Linked DNA regions of Notamacropus eugenii. The protein of the gene in region 1 interacts with the protein of each later gene in a pairwise test. Links are inferred from orthologs where the notes say so. Each region holds a gene or a part of one and is shown on either strand. Other genes may lie near its edges. The genes, in order: CCDC136, FAM107A and TCEA2.

The links.
Region 2: the proteins of CCDC136 (region 1) and FAM107A interact in binary tests that used the Homo sapiens proteins (3 or more experiments, as listed by UniProt). The two-hybrid records come from large-scale screens. The link is inferred for Notamacropus eugenii from reciprocal best matches to the Homo sapiens genes CCDC136 and FAM107A.
Region 3: the proteins of CCDC136 (region 1) and TCEA2 interact in binary tests that used the Homo sapiens proteins (3 or more experiments, as listed by UniProt). The two-hybrid records come from large-scale screens. The link is inferred for Notamacropus eugenii from reciprocal best matches to the Homo sapiens genes CCDC136 and TCEA2.

Annotation. Positions count from the first base shown.
Region 1 is NC_092874.1:121,335,362-121,340,026, forward strand, and holds the start of CCDC136 (coiled-coil domain-containing protein 136), read right to left. Parts: upstream 2,934-4,665; 5' UTR 2,474-2,933; coding exon 2,416-2,473; intron 973-2,415; coding exon 868-972; intron 1-867. UniProt on the Homo sapiens protein: May play a role in acrosome formation in spermatogenesis and in fertilization.
Region 2 is NC_092874.1:466,691,073-466,695,737, reverse strand, and holds the start of FAM107A (actin-associated protein FAM107A), read right to left. Parts: upstream 3,281-4,665; 5' UTR 3,179-3,280; coding exon 3,052-3,178; intron 1-3,051. UniProt on the Homo sapiens protein: Stress-inducible actin-binding protein that plays a role in synaptic and cognitive functions by modulating actin filamentous (F-actin) dynamics. Mediates polymerization of globular actin to F-actin. Also binds to, stabilizes and bundles F-actin.
Region 3 is NC_092872.1:496,077,964-496,082,628, forward strand, and holds the start of TCEA2 (transcription elongation factor A protein 2), read right to left. Parts: upstream 3,592-4,665; 5' UTR 3,346-3,591; coding exon 3,274-3,345; intron 1-3,273. UniProt on the Homo sapiens protein: Necessary for efficient RNA polymerase II transcription elongation past template-encoded arresting sites.

The DNA.
Region 1 (4,665 bases):
TTTCATTTGGGTGGGGCCTCTCACAATGACAGGCTTTTTTTTTTTGGTGGTGGGGGTGCTTCAAAGCATGATGCTGAGAAGAAAGGAAAGCTTGCCCATGAATACCTGGCTCCTTCTAGTTCTGACTGCTGGAACTTGGGACAAGTAAAGAGAGAATCAGAGAGCTGGAAAGAAATGTAGAATTATTGATTTCAAGCCCTCACCCAGGTCAAGAATCAATTCCCAGGACATCTGCTTGACCACTGGCCTAGGGAAATTCAGACTTTGGGTAGAAGCCTTGGAAGCCATCTGGGCTCCAGAGAAGCAAATGTGGGATTGCTCCCTAGGTGATAATATGTTCCTTAAGCCCTGAATGGGGATGGCTTCATAGAGAGCAGTGCAGCAGAATGCTGGTTGAATTGTAGCCCTCTGGATAAGACTGTGCCTCTTCCACTCTGGTGTCTTCCTTCCAACCTTGAAGGACTAAGCTGTGGGGAGAGGGGAGCCTTGCTTGAAAGACAGACCACAATTTTGGGGGCAGGAGCAGGTAACATTGTTGGGATGAAGTGAGGACCAGTGTCTCAGATGAAAAAGCTCATCAGGAAATCTTTTGGGGTGGTGTGGCTTCCTTCTAGCAGAGTCAGCCCCATGAGATAGACCCTAGTTAAGTCGTGTGTGTTCAGGAAGAAACCTTGAAGTAGTTGCTTCCCTTCCCCAAAGCCTTAGGGTGACTACTGGGCCTTAGTTTGAGATGAGGAAGGTTCTAGGAAAAGCTCGGGGGAAATAATGGAGTCAAAGCTAGGAGCTGCAGGGGGAGGGAGAGAAGAAAGGAGTTGAAAAGTAGGAAGGGAGAAAGAAAAGAAAGCATTTTAGGGCAAGAAAACTCACCATCCATGGTTTGACCCCAGCGCTCCAGGGATCCCCAACATTGGCCTTTCTTCCTCTCACAGCCCTCAGATCCCTCACAGGACTTTGCAGGGGTCACTGGAAATCCTATGGAAAGAGAAGTATGAGAGGCACAGGAAAGGCTGGGGAGTATACCCATCCTAGGCAAGTCATGGGTGCTTGAATCCTAATGTCAGTCCAAGCATCTCCCCATTCCTAGCTCTGATGTCCCCTATCCCCCAGCTATGGCCCCTCTGCTGGTTCCAATTGCTGTACTCTCCCACCCCACTCCCAGCTTTGCTGCTGACCCTGGCCCTGCCATCATCCCCATTCTGGCCCAGGTTTCCACTTCTGCTGCTGCTTTCTACTCTACCCCACCCCACTGCCATCCCTCCACCTGACTCTGCCTCTGAATTTCCCCCCTCCCATCCTAATACAAATAAAGTCCTCATCTCTGCTGCTGTTGCTGGCTGCCCCACTCCCAGCTCTGCTGCTGATTCCTGACTCTGATTCCTCCTACCAACACAGGTCCCCCACTTCTACTGCTTCCATCGGTTCTAACTCCCTCCTCTTACTGTAGGTCTCCACTTCTGCCTGCCCTACTCCCCCTCTGCTGCTGACCCTGACTGTGAATCCCCTCTACAACAGATCTCTGCTTCTCTCTGCCCACTCTCCACCCCTAGCTCTGCTTCTGACTCTGACTCTCTGGACAGCCCCTGCCCCAACACAGGCCCCTACATCTGCTTCTATCTGCCCCACCCCCAATTCTGCAACTGACCCTGGCTCTGTGAATCTCTTCTCCCCTCCCCCCCCTCCTGCCTAGCACAGGTCCCCATATCTTCTCTCTGTCCTTCCTCCACACCCAGCTCTGCTGCTGACCCTGACCCTGTGAATCACTCCCTTCCCCTTCCCCTGCTTACATTCCCACATCTACTGCTTCTTATCTCCCATATTTCCAGTTCTACTATTGACTTTGACTGGACAGTCAGAACTGACTAGGTCTGTTAAACCCAGCTCTGTCTCTGTCTCTCTCCATACATAAGCCAGAGAATGTATATTTAGGAAAGAGAGGAAGATGAGAGAGGGAGCAGAAGGTAGAGATGGAGGGAACGGGAGAGAGGAAGTGAAGAGAAAAAGCTTGGGGGTTAGGGAAGGGGCAATGGCAAAGGGGGTTCTGTTATCTGGAGTGGGAATAAAATGCCATCATCACCATACTACCTGATTTTCTACTCCTCCCCCCCCCCAATTATCCACTCTTCACTGTGCCCAGTGCCAGAGGGGATCTGAGAATCTGTGCGCACCCACAAGAGCCCCGGGGTCAGAGCCGAGCAGGGAGGGAGGGGAGGGCGGTGAAGCCGCTTCGCGGGGGCTGGGGGGACAAGGATGACCAGAGAGCCTCTCAAGGCAGGATGCAGCGGCGGGCTGGACGTGCGGGGAGAGCGGGGAGAGCGGGGAGAGGGATGGGAAAGATGGAGACCTCGGCCTGGGGAAGGAGGAGGGGAGGAGAAATGGAGAAGGGCAAGGAGAAGCCGGATGAGCAAAAGCCCTGACCTGAGCACTGGCTGGGCCGGCTCGTGGCTTCGGGTCCATCCCCAGCTTCCGTGTCCATGGCCGCAGCCGCTGCCGGCCCTGCTCGGGACCGAGCCGCAGAGCCTGGGGAGCGGGAGGAGCGGAGGAGGGGCTGCTGGGAAGGCGTGCCCCAGGCGGGGACCGAGCCCAGCCCCCCGGGCTCCCCTCCTGTCTCCTCTCCGGCCCACCTGACGCAACCGCAGGCGGGAGTGGGGTGGGGAGGGGGGAGCTGGAGCCTCTCTCTTCTCAGGGTCCCGGAGCCCCACCCGGCCGGTCACTGCGCGCCGCCCGCCTGGCGTGCTCCTGGGAAGGGGCTCGCACACATTCCTGGCTCAGGTGGGAGCACCTTGACCCTTGGCCCAAAGAAGCAAGAACAGTACAGGCTCACTGGGGGGCAAACCGAGAGCTTGGATGGACGGCTAGGTTCAGGAAGTGGCTGCTCCCGTGGGAGCCCTGCTGGGAGAGGGCTCAACAGCCTCCCGGCACCTCCCCCCAAGTCGCTGCGAAGTGGGGAGGGGGTCTGCGCAGAGGAACCCCGGGGCCTGGCCGATATCCCTGGCTTTGCTGCCGAGGTAAAGCGGAGCATCCCCCTGGGATGATGGAATAATCTGCCCTGTATTATCTTAAGCAGAACACCCTCCTCCCAAGGCCGAAGTCCCTGGACTGGCCAGCTCCCTGCCCCGGGTTCAGGGCTTGTCCTGGCTCTGGGATGCTTCCAGGCCCACAGACCAAGTGGGGAACCTAAGGTGACGTGGAGGCTGGAAAGAGACGCATGGAAGGGACAGGGGGGATGAAGCCCGGTATTTCTGGTCCTCTCTCTTCCCTGCCTCCCATCAATTCTATAGTCAGTCGGGGTCATTAGGCTTTATTATATCCATTGACTACGCAGCCCTTTGTTAAATGGGATCTGAAATAGTTTCCTTGTTTGTAAACCCTAAACTGCTACCTTGCTCTTTCTCTAATACAATTCCCTAATGAATTCCACAAGCTATAGTGAGATATCTTTCCTCATAACAGTCACTTTGTTAAGTGCTCGGAATACAAATCAAATGTAGCAGTCCCTGCCCTCAAGGACCTTATGATCTAAGGGAAGGAAACAATGTATTTGGAAGTAAATATGAAATATGGGGGTGCTAAATGGCACAGTGGATAGAGTGCTGGGCCTGGAGGAAGGAAGACTTGTCTTCCTGAGTTGAAATCTGGCCTCAAACACCAACTGTGTGACCCTGGGCAAGTCACTTAGCTCAGTTTGCCTCCGTTTCCCCATCTGTCAAATGAGCTGGAGAAACAACAAACTTCTCCAGTCTCTTTGCCAAGAAAAGTCTAGATGGGGTCAAGAAAAGTTGGGCATGACAGAAATGACTAAACAGCAACAAATATGAACTATCTTCAAAGTAACTTCTGGAGGTAAGGACATAGGTCTAATTCTGCCAGGCAGTTTCATTAGCATTAGAACAGGCTTCAGAGGACACAGTGGAAGAAGAGGAAGAGTGCCCCAGGAACAATGTAGGGACAGTGTTGGTAGTGTGAGCTTTGGCCTCAGCAGACTTCAAGTCATAGTCTGAATGTATATTGGCATGTCAGTCTAGTAAAGGTAGTGGTGTTTTGATTATTCCAGAGAAAGAGATTGCAAGCTGTTGGGAGCTGGCGGATGTGCACTCTTCGATAGGGCAGATGGCCAGGTCTTAATCTTTTCTAATGGCCAAAGCAGGGATTGGAGTTTAGGCTAGTTATAGGGCCCTCAGCCAGATCAGCTTTTTGTAGATATGGTAGATATATAATTGTCACTGTATATTATAAGAATTGTGTACACATAGTGTTGGGTTGTTTTTTGTTTGTTTTGGCTTGGTTTCATTAATAGGGATCTCTGTCTACCAATGTCAACCAATGTGCCCTGTAGCCTTAGAGAGGTGCCTGGGACCCAGAGATTACCTGATTTGCTTGGGATCCCACAGTCAGGATGTGTCAGAGGCAGGTCGTGAGTCCATATGGTCCCAGTTTTCTGGTCAGTCCTCTCTCCAGTCTCCTCTACTGCTTTTTCTACTGTACCACACATATGCATGTATACATGTGCCATACTTGTGCTACTGAATGTTTTCACATATATTATTTCATTCTCCAAACAACCCTGTCGAGTAGGCAGGGTAGACCTTATGTTGCTCATTCTTCAGACAATGAGGCCCAAATGGGTCAAGTGGGGTCACCCAGCTAGTTAAATGGCAGACTCCAGTG
Region 2 (4,665 bases), about 350 Mb from region 1:
TCTGTGGACATGGTCTGACCAGAGCAGAGAACAAGAGAATGCTCTCCCACCTTTCAATGTAGTCTAATAGAGGAGTACTTTCTTAGCTGCCATATACTGTTGACTTAGACTGAGCTTGTAGTCCATTGAAACCCTCAGCTCTTTTTCAGACCTAATGCTCTTCAAATTCTGACAGCTCTCTTTGGGGATGTGTCATTTCTTAGCTTTATATTGATTCAACACCAGAACAGTTGCAAACTAACCAATGGATCAACTGAGTCCAACTATGCAATGTTCCATTCCCCCATCTCTGGCCACTTGGGACCAAACTTGGTCATTAGAACTGACTCCATTACACAGCACCAGCTCAGGACTACATTCTTAAAAACTGGCATCGCTTACACTCTCACACACTGTTTATTACAGTGCCAGAGAGCACAGCATCTCCAAGGTGGAGGGGATTTTCAGAAGACACCCAGTCTGCCCTGTGCCAGGAAAAGACTCCAGGGGATCCCTCTTCTGACACTTAGAGGACAGAAGGGGAAGGAGAGACGGGCACAATGGCCTGCAGAGAGGGTGGCTGCTTTCAGTCCTTCTGCCATGGCAAGGGGATGACTATGAATGCACACAGTTCAGGCTGGTCTCTGTCCTACAATAAAAGATGAAAGAAAAAAGGAATCTCTTTCCTGCTAAGGGATGTAAAAATATGCCTTTAAAAATAGAAAAACTTCCAAGTAAAAATAAACAAACAAACAAAAAAAGAAAGGAAGGAGCTGAAGAGGGATCTGAGTGCCCTGATGTGGGTCAGGGCATGAGAGGGGAGAAGAAGGTAAGAACTTTAAGAAAGGGAAATATGAGTGACAAAAGTGGGGGCATGAGGATTAGGTGATGGACTCTCCCTGCAGAGGGCTGAGCTGAGCCATCCTGAGAGGAGGCAGGGCTCTAAGGAGAGAGGTTACTCAGTAAGGGTCAGAGGAAAGTCAGTGGTGGCTGGTGACTCTCTGCTGAGGAAACCAAGACAGCTGTTTGTCAAACTGTCAATCAGCAAACCTTTGGACATAGCTACTACGTGCCAGGTACAGTCCTAGAATCTGAGGAGAGTGAGGCAGAAATGAAACCCACATCTAGGTGCACATAGCCACAACAGGACTTGACAAACTTGCTTCCTACTTCCCGTGATAAATCTAGGGACACATTACACTACCATAAGAAAGTTAGCAAACATGGTAGGGACATTGAAGTCCTGGGCAAGAAAATGAAGACCTTAGGGGCCCCAGTGGTCTCTTCATCATGTTTGTCAATTAAAACAGAAGTTTTGGAAGAGAAAGACAGATCTGAGGAGTGAAGAACTACTTGAGTAGTTTACCTGAAAACAAAAAAAATTAATTTTTGGACCAAGGCTTAAAATATAGGAATGATACACTCTTGGCTAGGGATGGATTGTAGATAGTAAAGGCTAAAAAATATATTTGCTCAGAGATCTGCAATGCTAGTAAAAGAAAGGGACTTCAAACTGGAAAGGGAGGAGAGTGAAAGGAGAAACCAACTTTCAGGACCACAGAGCATGGTTACAATAACAGCAGTAGAGACACCCCATAATTCTCAGGAGTCAAAAATGCAAGAAGGAAGTCAGCAATGGAGCTCGTGGCCACAGAGGTCCATACACAAGAGCACAAATTGTGGGTACTAAGCAAGATAAATGAGAGAGCCCAAGGAGCCACTTGGTTTTCATCTATAGGACTGAAACCTAGAGGGATGTATAGAATATAACTTTACAAAGAATCACAGAAAATGAAAGCATCCCAGTGTTGGAAGGGACCTCAGCAACTTAATCCAATCCATACTGGAACAAGAATTCCCCTTACCTTAAGCCTCCACACTTCAAATATAGGGAGAGTCCCCTACCTCTTTAGCAGGTGATTCCACTGTTAGATAAGATTATTACCTGTGAATGTGGGGGTGGGGAGAGATCAAGGAAGGCTTCCTGGAGAAAGTGGAATTTGATTGAATTTTAAAGGACACTGAATAAACACTAGTTTGCGGATCAGGGTTCCATCTTTTCCACCAAGGAGCTGTGTGATCCTGGACCGGTCCCTTCACTTCGCTGAATTTCAGTTGTCAAATGAATATAAATGGGGAGGAGGGAGGGTGACTGGAGTTCTGAATTCTCTTCCAGCTTGGGCATTCCATGATTTGAAAGTTTTTTTGATATATTTTTTCATCCCCTGCTTCCAGCTCAGATCTCTCCAGACAGCGGACATTCAATCAGTCCAGGCTGACTGACTCCCACCTCAGAAAGGCTGCATTGGTCTCTCCAGGCAGCATCATTTTGTGTCCCAGTGCAGGCTTCTGAGTTTAGCTATTCTCAGCATGTCCCGGAATGATCCACTCCAGGAGCCGCTGAATCAGACCAAATCCCTCCAATTTTGCTGTCTGATGCTTCCCAAGACTCCAGGAACAACACAAAAAAGCCCCAGCTAGCCTTGGGCTCCAGTGCTGGCAGCTGGCAGGGCCCCAGAAAGGCACTCAGGGTGCCTCACTTGGTTACAGAGCTGGGTCTACCTCTTTGCCCTTGACTGAAGCATAGACTGGCAGATTTCTCATGGATCAGGTTTTTGAATTAGAAGGAAGATTGAACCCGCAGAATTATGAGCACTATTGAAAATATCTCTCTCAAAATGAAATTGTAAAAGAAATAGGAACCATCCGATCCCTTTCCCCCTTTACAAAAGGCAAGCTATTTCCCCTGAAACTAGGAGTTTCTTACCTGGACTGTAGGACTTGTTAAAAAACAAACTAAAAGAAACCAAAGAAATACCTCCTTGATAATCATAATACCCACAGTTAGAGAAGTGCCAGCAATCATTTAAAATCAGTCATATTAAGGAATCACATGTCTGGTAGTGGGACTAGGATCCCGACTTAAAACTCTTCAGTACATGATGGCCAGAAAAATGCCAGGATGGGCCAGGACAGGTGCCCAGGTGGACACTGGCACAGGGAAGCAGGCAAACACATTCTTTGCCCAGCTGGGGAGCAGGGGAGAGGGTCCCACTCCAGGCTTGCTCTTACCTGATTTAACCAGCATGGCTCGGTAGAGACCTGTTGCCTCAGGGGGCACCCTGATCCCCATATCTCTCTGGGCCATGAGTGCCGGCCGGGCACGGGGGAAGCTAGTTGAATCTCGGAGGCTGCACATGCTGGCAAGTGTGCATAGCTTTTTGGCAGGAGCTCTGCTACTGAGCTCTCTCTCTCTCTCTCACTTCAGTAAGATCTTTTCAGAGACGGAAAGCAGTCATGTGAGATGGGCAGGCTCAGCACAGCCCCTGCCCTCCCCTGCCAGGCGGTACATTTTGATCTGCTCCTCTCACAAAACCTTTCCTGGGTGATTTCAGGGGATTATGTTACTGTTGAGAGGGCCAGGCTGCTGGGATCCCAGGGCCAGTATGGATGAACATCCACTTTTCTTCACAGTCTTCCTGGAAGGAAGGTAGCATTATAGATGAGGAAACTGAATCACAGAGGCACCAAGGTTCAAATGCTGACTTTGTTACTTACAATCTTACTTAAGTCACTGGGGTATCACTGAGACTTTTGGTGCCTCAGTTTCTTCACTTGTAAAATGAAGAGATGGGAGTAGATGACTTTCGAAGTCCCTACCAACTCTTGACCTATAATCTTGGGAATTTATAAACCAGCAGCCAGGTGGAGAGAGTGCTAGTTCTGAAGTCAGGAGGACCTGAGTTCAAATCTGACCTCAGACACTACCTCTGTGACCCTGGGCAAGTCACTTCACTCTGCCTCAGTTTCCTTACTTGTAAAATGATCTGGAGAAATAAATGACAAACAACTCCAGTTGCCAGGAAGACCCCATGAAAGCAGCTGAATTCTGATGAATTTTAATGAACAGCCTTGGTCCCAGAGATCTAATGTAGAGAGGCACGGATTGAATACATGGAAGATTGTATAAAACATGTCCACTGTGGCAGCTATTTAAATCTGTATCAAATTTATCAAATTGTTCAAATCTTCCTTTAAAAACAATTATCAAATTTAGGAGGCAGAGCCAAAATGTTAGAGAAAAGGCAATGACTTGCCTGATCTCTCCCCCAAACCCCTGTGAATACCTTTAAATAATGCCATAAAAAATTTCTAGAAAGGTAGAACCCACAAAAGGATGGGGTGAAATAATTTTCCAGCCAAAAACAACTTAGAAGGTTGGTATGAAAGATCTGTGCCACCTGGGTGAGAGTAGAGCTCAGTCCAGTACAGGTCATGCCAGTATAGTCTGGCCCCAGAAAACCAGGAGCAGAACTTGGGAGCCACTGAATCAGCAGTGGCAGTGGCTACCTCTGTAGTAGCAGCCCACAGACAGTAAAGGAGTCAAACAACTGGTCAGAAGGAGGTTACAGTATCCTCTTTGCTAGCACTGAGGCAAGACTCTATTGCTTTGCTCATACTCTGATCTGGGTCGCAGTTCTGGGTGGCAGTCCCAGGGCAAGGAGAAGCACTCTAGCACATTACAGCTTGCAGCCTCAGTGGAGCAGGGCACCCCATCACAGTTCCAAGACAGAAAAGAGTGCTTGTGGTCACTCACAGACCACTGTCCTGAGAGTAGAAACACACCTCTCCTTAGATCATACCACCTTGGAAGAACTGAAAACTTACAGGTCCCTAGAAATATCT
Region 3 (4,665 bases), on another chromosome or scaffold:
CCACATACACATTCTCCCTCCAAATCATCCTTCATACATCTGCCAGATTTATCTCTCTTATGCATAAATGTAGTTATATCACACTTTTGCATAAAATCCCACTGCCTACTCAGTAAAATTCAAACTCCTTAGCCCTGGAATGTGAAACCTTCCATAGTACTCTCTTCCAAATACTGCCCAAACTGACACACTACCCCCTATGCTTTTGATGCTCCCTATCCCTGTTGTTCTCCCTTAAGACTTAAAAGTCATCTCTTCCATTAAGCCTTTCCTGATCCCACTATTCAAGAATAATCTTTCCCTCCCCCCACCCCTAAGAAGATGTATCACACTTGCTCTGTAGTTCTCTTATGAACTTACATAATTTTAATGCTATTTGTGTATGTACTAGAAAAATTTCAGAATGGCAAGCTCCATGTCTTATCTAAATTCTCCATCTCACTCAGCACTCAGCATAGTTCTCAGCAAACCCAAGATTTTTAACAAATGTTTGTGAGACACTGACTACAGTAACGTAAATGGAGAGAACAAAAGAGGAAACCAAACAGTATATAATTATAATGACCAAGCCTGGTTCCCAAGAAGGGTTAGGAAAACTGTGTTTTCCTCTCTTCTTTGCGGAGAAAGAGGACTATGATTGTGGAATATTCCATATACTGTCAGACACAGTTCACGTGTTGGTTTTGCTGAACTGCTTTTTCTCTTTTTTTATTCTTTGTTACAAGAGATGGTTCACTGAATAGGAGAGGGGATAGGAATGTATGAGGAAATGGAGGTGATATTAATACAAAAATTAAATCAAATCAATAAAAATAAGGCTTTTTAAAAATGTGAGAATCTGAAAGATAGAGTTTGTGGACAGCTCCCAAGAAAGAGCCTTTAAGGGAAGATAATAGACACAAACATAGAGTCATATGGGATGGAGGTTGCCTCTCAGTGAGGCCAGGGGAGCCTCAGATGAGATAAACAAGGGCCAAAAGCTGGGGAGAAAGGGAGTTAAAGAATTAAGGATCATAGTGTCGGTGGAAAAAAAATACTGTATATTTATTAAGCAGGAGTATTTATAGGTTCTTAAGTGACCTCTGAAAGGACAGTTATAAGATCAAAGAATTCACAGTAGAATATCAACTAGTCCAAGCCCCTTATTTTGTAGATGAAGAAACTGAAGACAGAGAAGTAAAGTGACTTTCCCAGATTCACATAGCTAGTAAAGCTGCAGGATTCAAACTCAGGTCCGCAATCTGCAGACCTATAAACTACCTCCAAAGTTAGTGTCTCTGATCAGGGTCTTACTGACCCTTGAATAGAAAAGCTTAATTTTGTGGTGGTATGGGAAGTATAGGGCAGGGATTACAAGTCTCAGTTTTAGCTGTGGTCTGAGTATAGCTCTAGGAAAAGACTCAAGGCAGAAACAATAATAATTTATCATATTTCTATAGTACTTCAATGCTTACAAATAATAGCCACAATTATAGCTAACACATATATGGCATTTTAAAGTCTGCATATATTATCTTATTTGATTTGACCCTTACATCAGCTCTATAAGGTAGCCCTACAAAATGCTAAAAAGTACTTTGACCACAACAAACCCAAGGGTCAGTGTTATCATCCTCACTTTACAGTTAAGGAAACTAAGACAGGGGCAGCTGTAGCAGGAAGACCTATAGCAAAGATCTCAGAGAAACAGCCCAATACCTGGATCCAGGATTTAGAACTCTGTGAGATCATCTAGACCAACTGCTTTCATTTTAGGAAACCGATTGCAACAAGAAGAGACTTGGTCAAGGTCACACAAGTAGCGGGTAGTAGAGTAGTGAGGAGTGGGAAGAAGGGTCCCTTGCTGGTGCCTGTAAATCTGAGTACCCTCTGTTGGGGGGTCTCTAGGAAAGAAAGCTTAGCATAGTGCGTGGCACAAAGCAGATACTTCAATGTCTATGGATTGAAGCTAGTAATCTTTGAGGGGAATTTGGAGAGGGGTTTGAGGAATCTGAGGGGGAGAGCTCCCAAGGTCTCACAGGAATCTGAGGTTCCGTAAGGAACTTTTAAATAGAGGGGAATTTGAGGGGTCCAGGGTGACATGCATATCTATCAGAGAGTCTGTAAGCAGAAGCCCTGAGAAAGGGTGTCTGAGCGGAAATCTCTGGAGCATGTCCCTGGTGGCCAGCACAGAGTCTGAGTGGAGTCTCTGGGGGAGGTCGCTGGTGGCTATCAGAGGGTCTCTGAGTGGAGCCTCTGGGGGAGGTCGCTGGTGGCTATCAGAGGGTCTCTGAGTGGAGCCTCTGGGGGAGGTCGCTGGTGGCTATCAGAGGGTCTCTGGGGGAGGTCGCTGGTGGCTATCAGAGGGTCTCTGAGTGGAGCCTCTGGGCGAGGTCGCTGGTGGCTATCAGAGGGTCTCTGAGTGGAGCCTCTGGGGGAGGTCGCTGGTGGCTATCAGAGGGTCTCTGAGTGGAGCCTCTGGGGGAGGTCGCTGGTGGCTATCAGAGGGTCTCTGGGGGAGGTCGCTGGTGGCTATCAGAGGGTCTCTGAGTGGAGCCTCTGGGGGAGGTCGCTGGTGGCTATCAGAGGGTCTCTGAGTGGAGCCTCTGGGGGAGGTCGCTGGTGGCTATCAGAGGGTCTCTGAGTGGAGTCTCTGAGGGAGGTCGCTGGTGGCTATCAGAGGGTCTCTGAGTGGAGCCTCTGGGGGAGGTCGTTGGTGGCTATCAGAGGGTCTCTGGGGGAGGTCGCTGGTGGCTATCAGAGGGTCTCTGGGGGAGGTCGCTGGTGGCTATCAGAGGGTCTCTGAGTGGAGCCTCTGGGGGAGGTCGCTGGTGGCTATCAGAGGGTCTCTGGGGGAGGTCGCTGGTGGCCATCAGAGGGTCTCTGAGTGGAGTCTCTGGGGATGTCAAGGGTGGCTATCTCGGTGACTTCTGTCTCAGGGTTTCTGGGAGAAGTAACGGCCTGGGAGATTTCTAAGGGGTATTTCTATGGTGAAGTCACAAAGTTCAGCTCTGATCTGGTTTGGGGCGCATGGGGAGAGGGGGCCGGGGAAGGCGTCTCTCAAGGTCTCTTAGGGAAGTCTCTAAAAGGATCTCAGGGACATCCAGAAAATGGGACAGGGTGTCTGAGGTACCCTGCAGGGCATGAGAGAAATCTTGGGGTCCTCGAGAGGGGTCCCTCAGGGGAGTCGTGGCTGGCCGGACTCTCCGTGGAGGGATATCTCTGGAAGGAATGGGGGAGGTTTCGGGGGGCAATTTCGGGGAGTCTGGAGGCGCGCGGGGACCGTGACCTCACCGTGCTCTTCTTGGTCACCATCTTGTCCAGCCGCTTGGCGATCCGCACGATCTCCTCCTCCTTCCCCATCATCTTCCCGTGGGCGGCTCGCTCAGGCCCTGTCCCTGCTGCCGCCGCCACCGCCGCCGCACCGCCTGGCCCGGGGCTCCTCCTCCCGCTGCCGCAATCCGGGCCCTCAGCTGCTCGTCCTGTCCCGCCCCCAGCTCCCCGCAACCACCACGCAGCCGCCGCTGCCCGAGAGCAACCAGGCGGGAGAGCAGCCGTTCAAACGCCTCAGGCTCGGCGGCTCCGCCGCGCTGCATCCTGGGACGTGTAGTTTCCGTGCCTGCCCCGCCCCAGGTTCGCGTCTACCAAGCGAACTCTCCCTCGCACGGCGTTGTGGGAAGCGTAGTCTCTGACCCGCCGTCTGTGGCCTCTCCGCATCACGGGAAGACTCCAAGCCCCACAATTCACTCGGAGAAGCTTCCTTAGTGGGAACTTTAACTCGTGGGAACGCACTGAGGCTGTGGAATCTTTACCTCCTGGGTGGGCTGGCGGTGCGACTTTGGGAGGGAGATGGTGGCACAGAACTTCTCTTAGAAAGGGGGCCTTGAGAGTGGAGACGTGGGGAGGTGAAAGGGGCGAAACAGGACCAGAAGGTGAGGGGAGGAAGAAAGGCAGGCTGGGGAAAGAGAAGGGGTGAGGATCCCCGCCCCTCCAGCCGCTCCCGGAGCTCGCCGTGACGCGGACGCCGGCCTGGTCTGGGGGCACAGCACGTCACCCTCGCGTTACCCACCCCCCAGCCCATCGGCATCCCCAGCCCGGAGCTCTCAGTCTGTGGCGAGGTCCCAGCAAAAGAGTGAAAACGCGAAGTGTGAAGGGCTGGAGTGAAGCTAAGTTGTGCAGGAGCTGGGAGAAATGCGTTACGCACATGTTAGTCATGAGGACTGAGAGATGAGGCTGGAAAAGTGAATTAGAGCTGAAGAAGACCACGCCATCAGAGAAATGATGACATGGCTTGCACTTGACTTTGTTTTGAGTGAGGGAGGACTGTGCAGGTCACCAGCCTCACTTCTCCTCCAGAGCCATCTGGATCCAATGACAAGATATGCATCAGAATGACTGGAGATGACCTAGGATGAGGCAGTTGGGGTTAAGTGACTTGCCCAAGGTCACACAGCTAGTGAGTGTCAAGTGTCTGAGGTGAGATTTGAACTCAGGCTCTCCTGACTCCTGCACTGGTGCTCTATCCACTGCACCACGTAGCTGCCCCCCAAATTAGAGCCAGGCAGTAGTTGGAAGGCTGGGGAAGAAGAGAATGGCACATTAAAGGGTTTGGATTTTTTATCTCTAAGGGCTCTTTGGAGGAGGGGATCCGTCTGGCAGCCTTTTCGGGGTTGGTGAGAGGCCCAA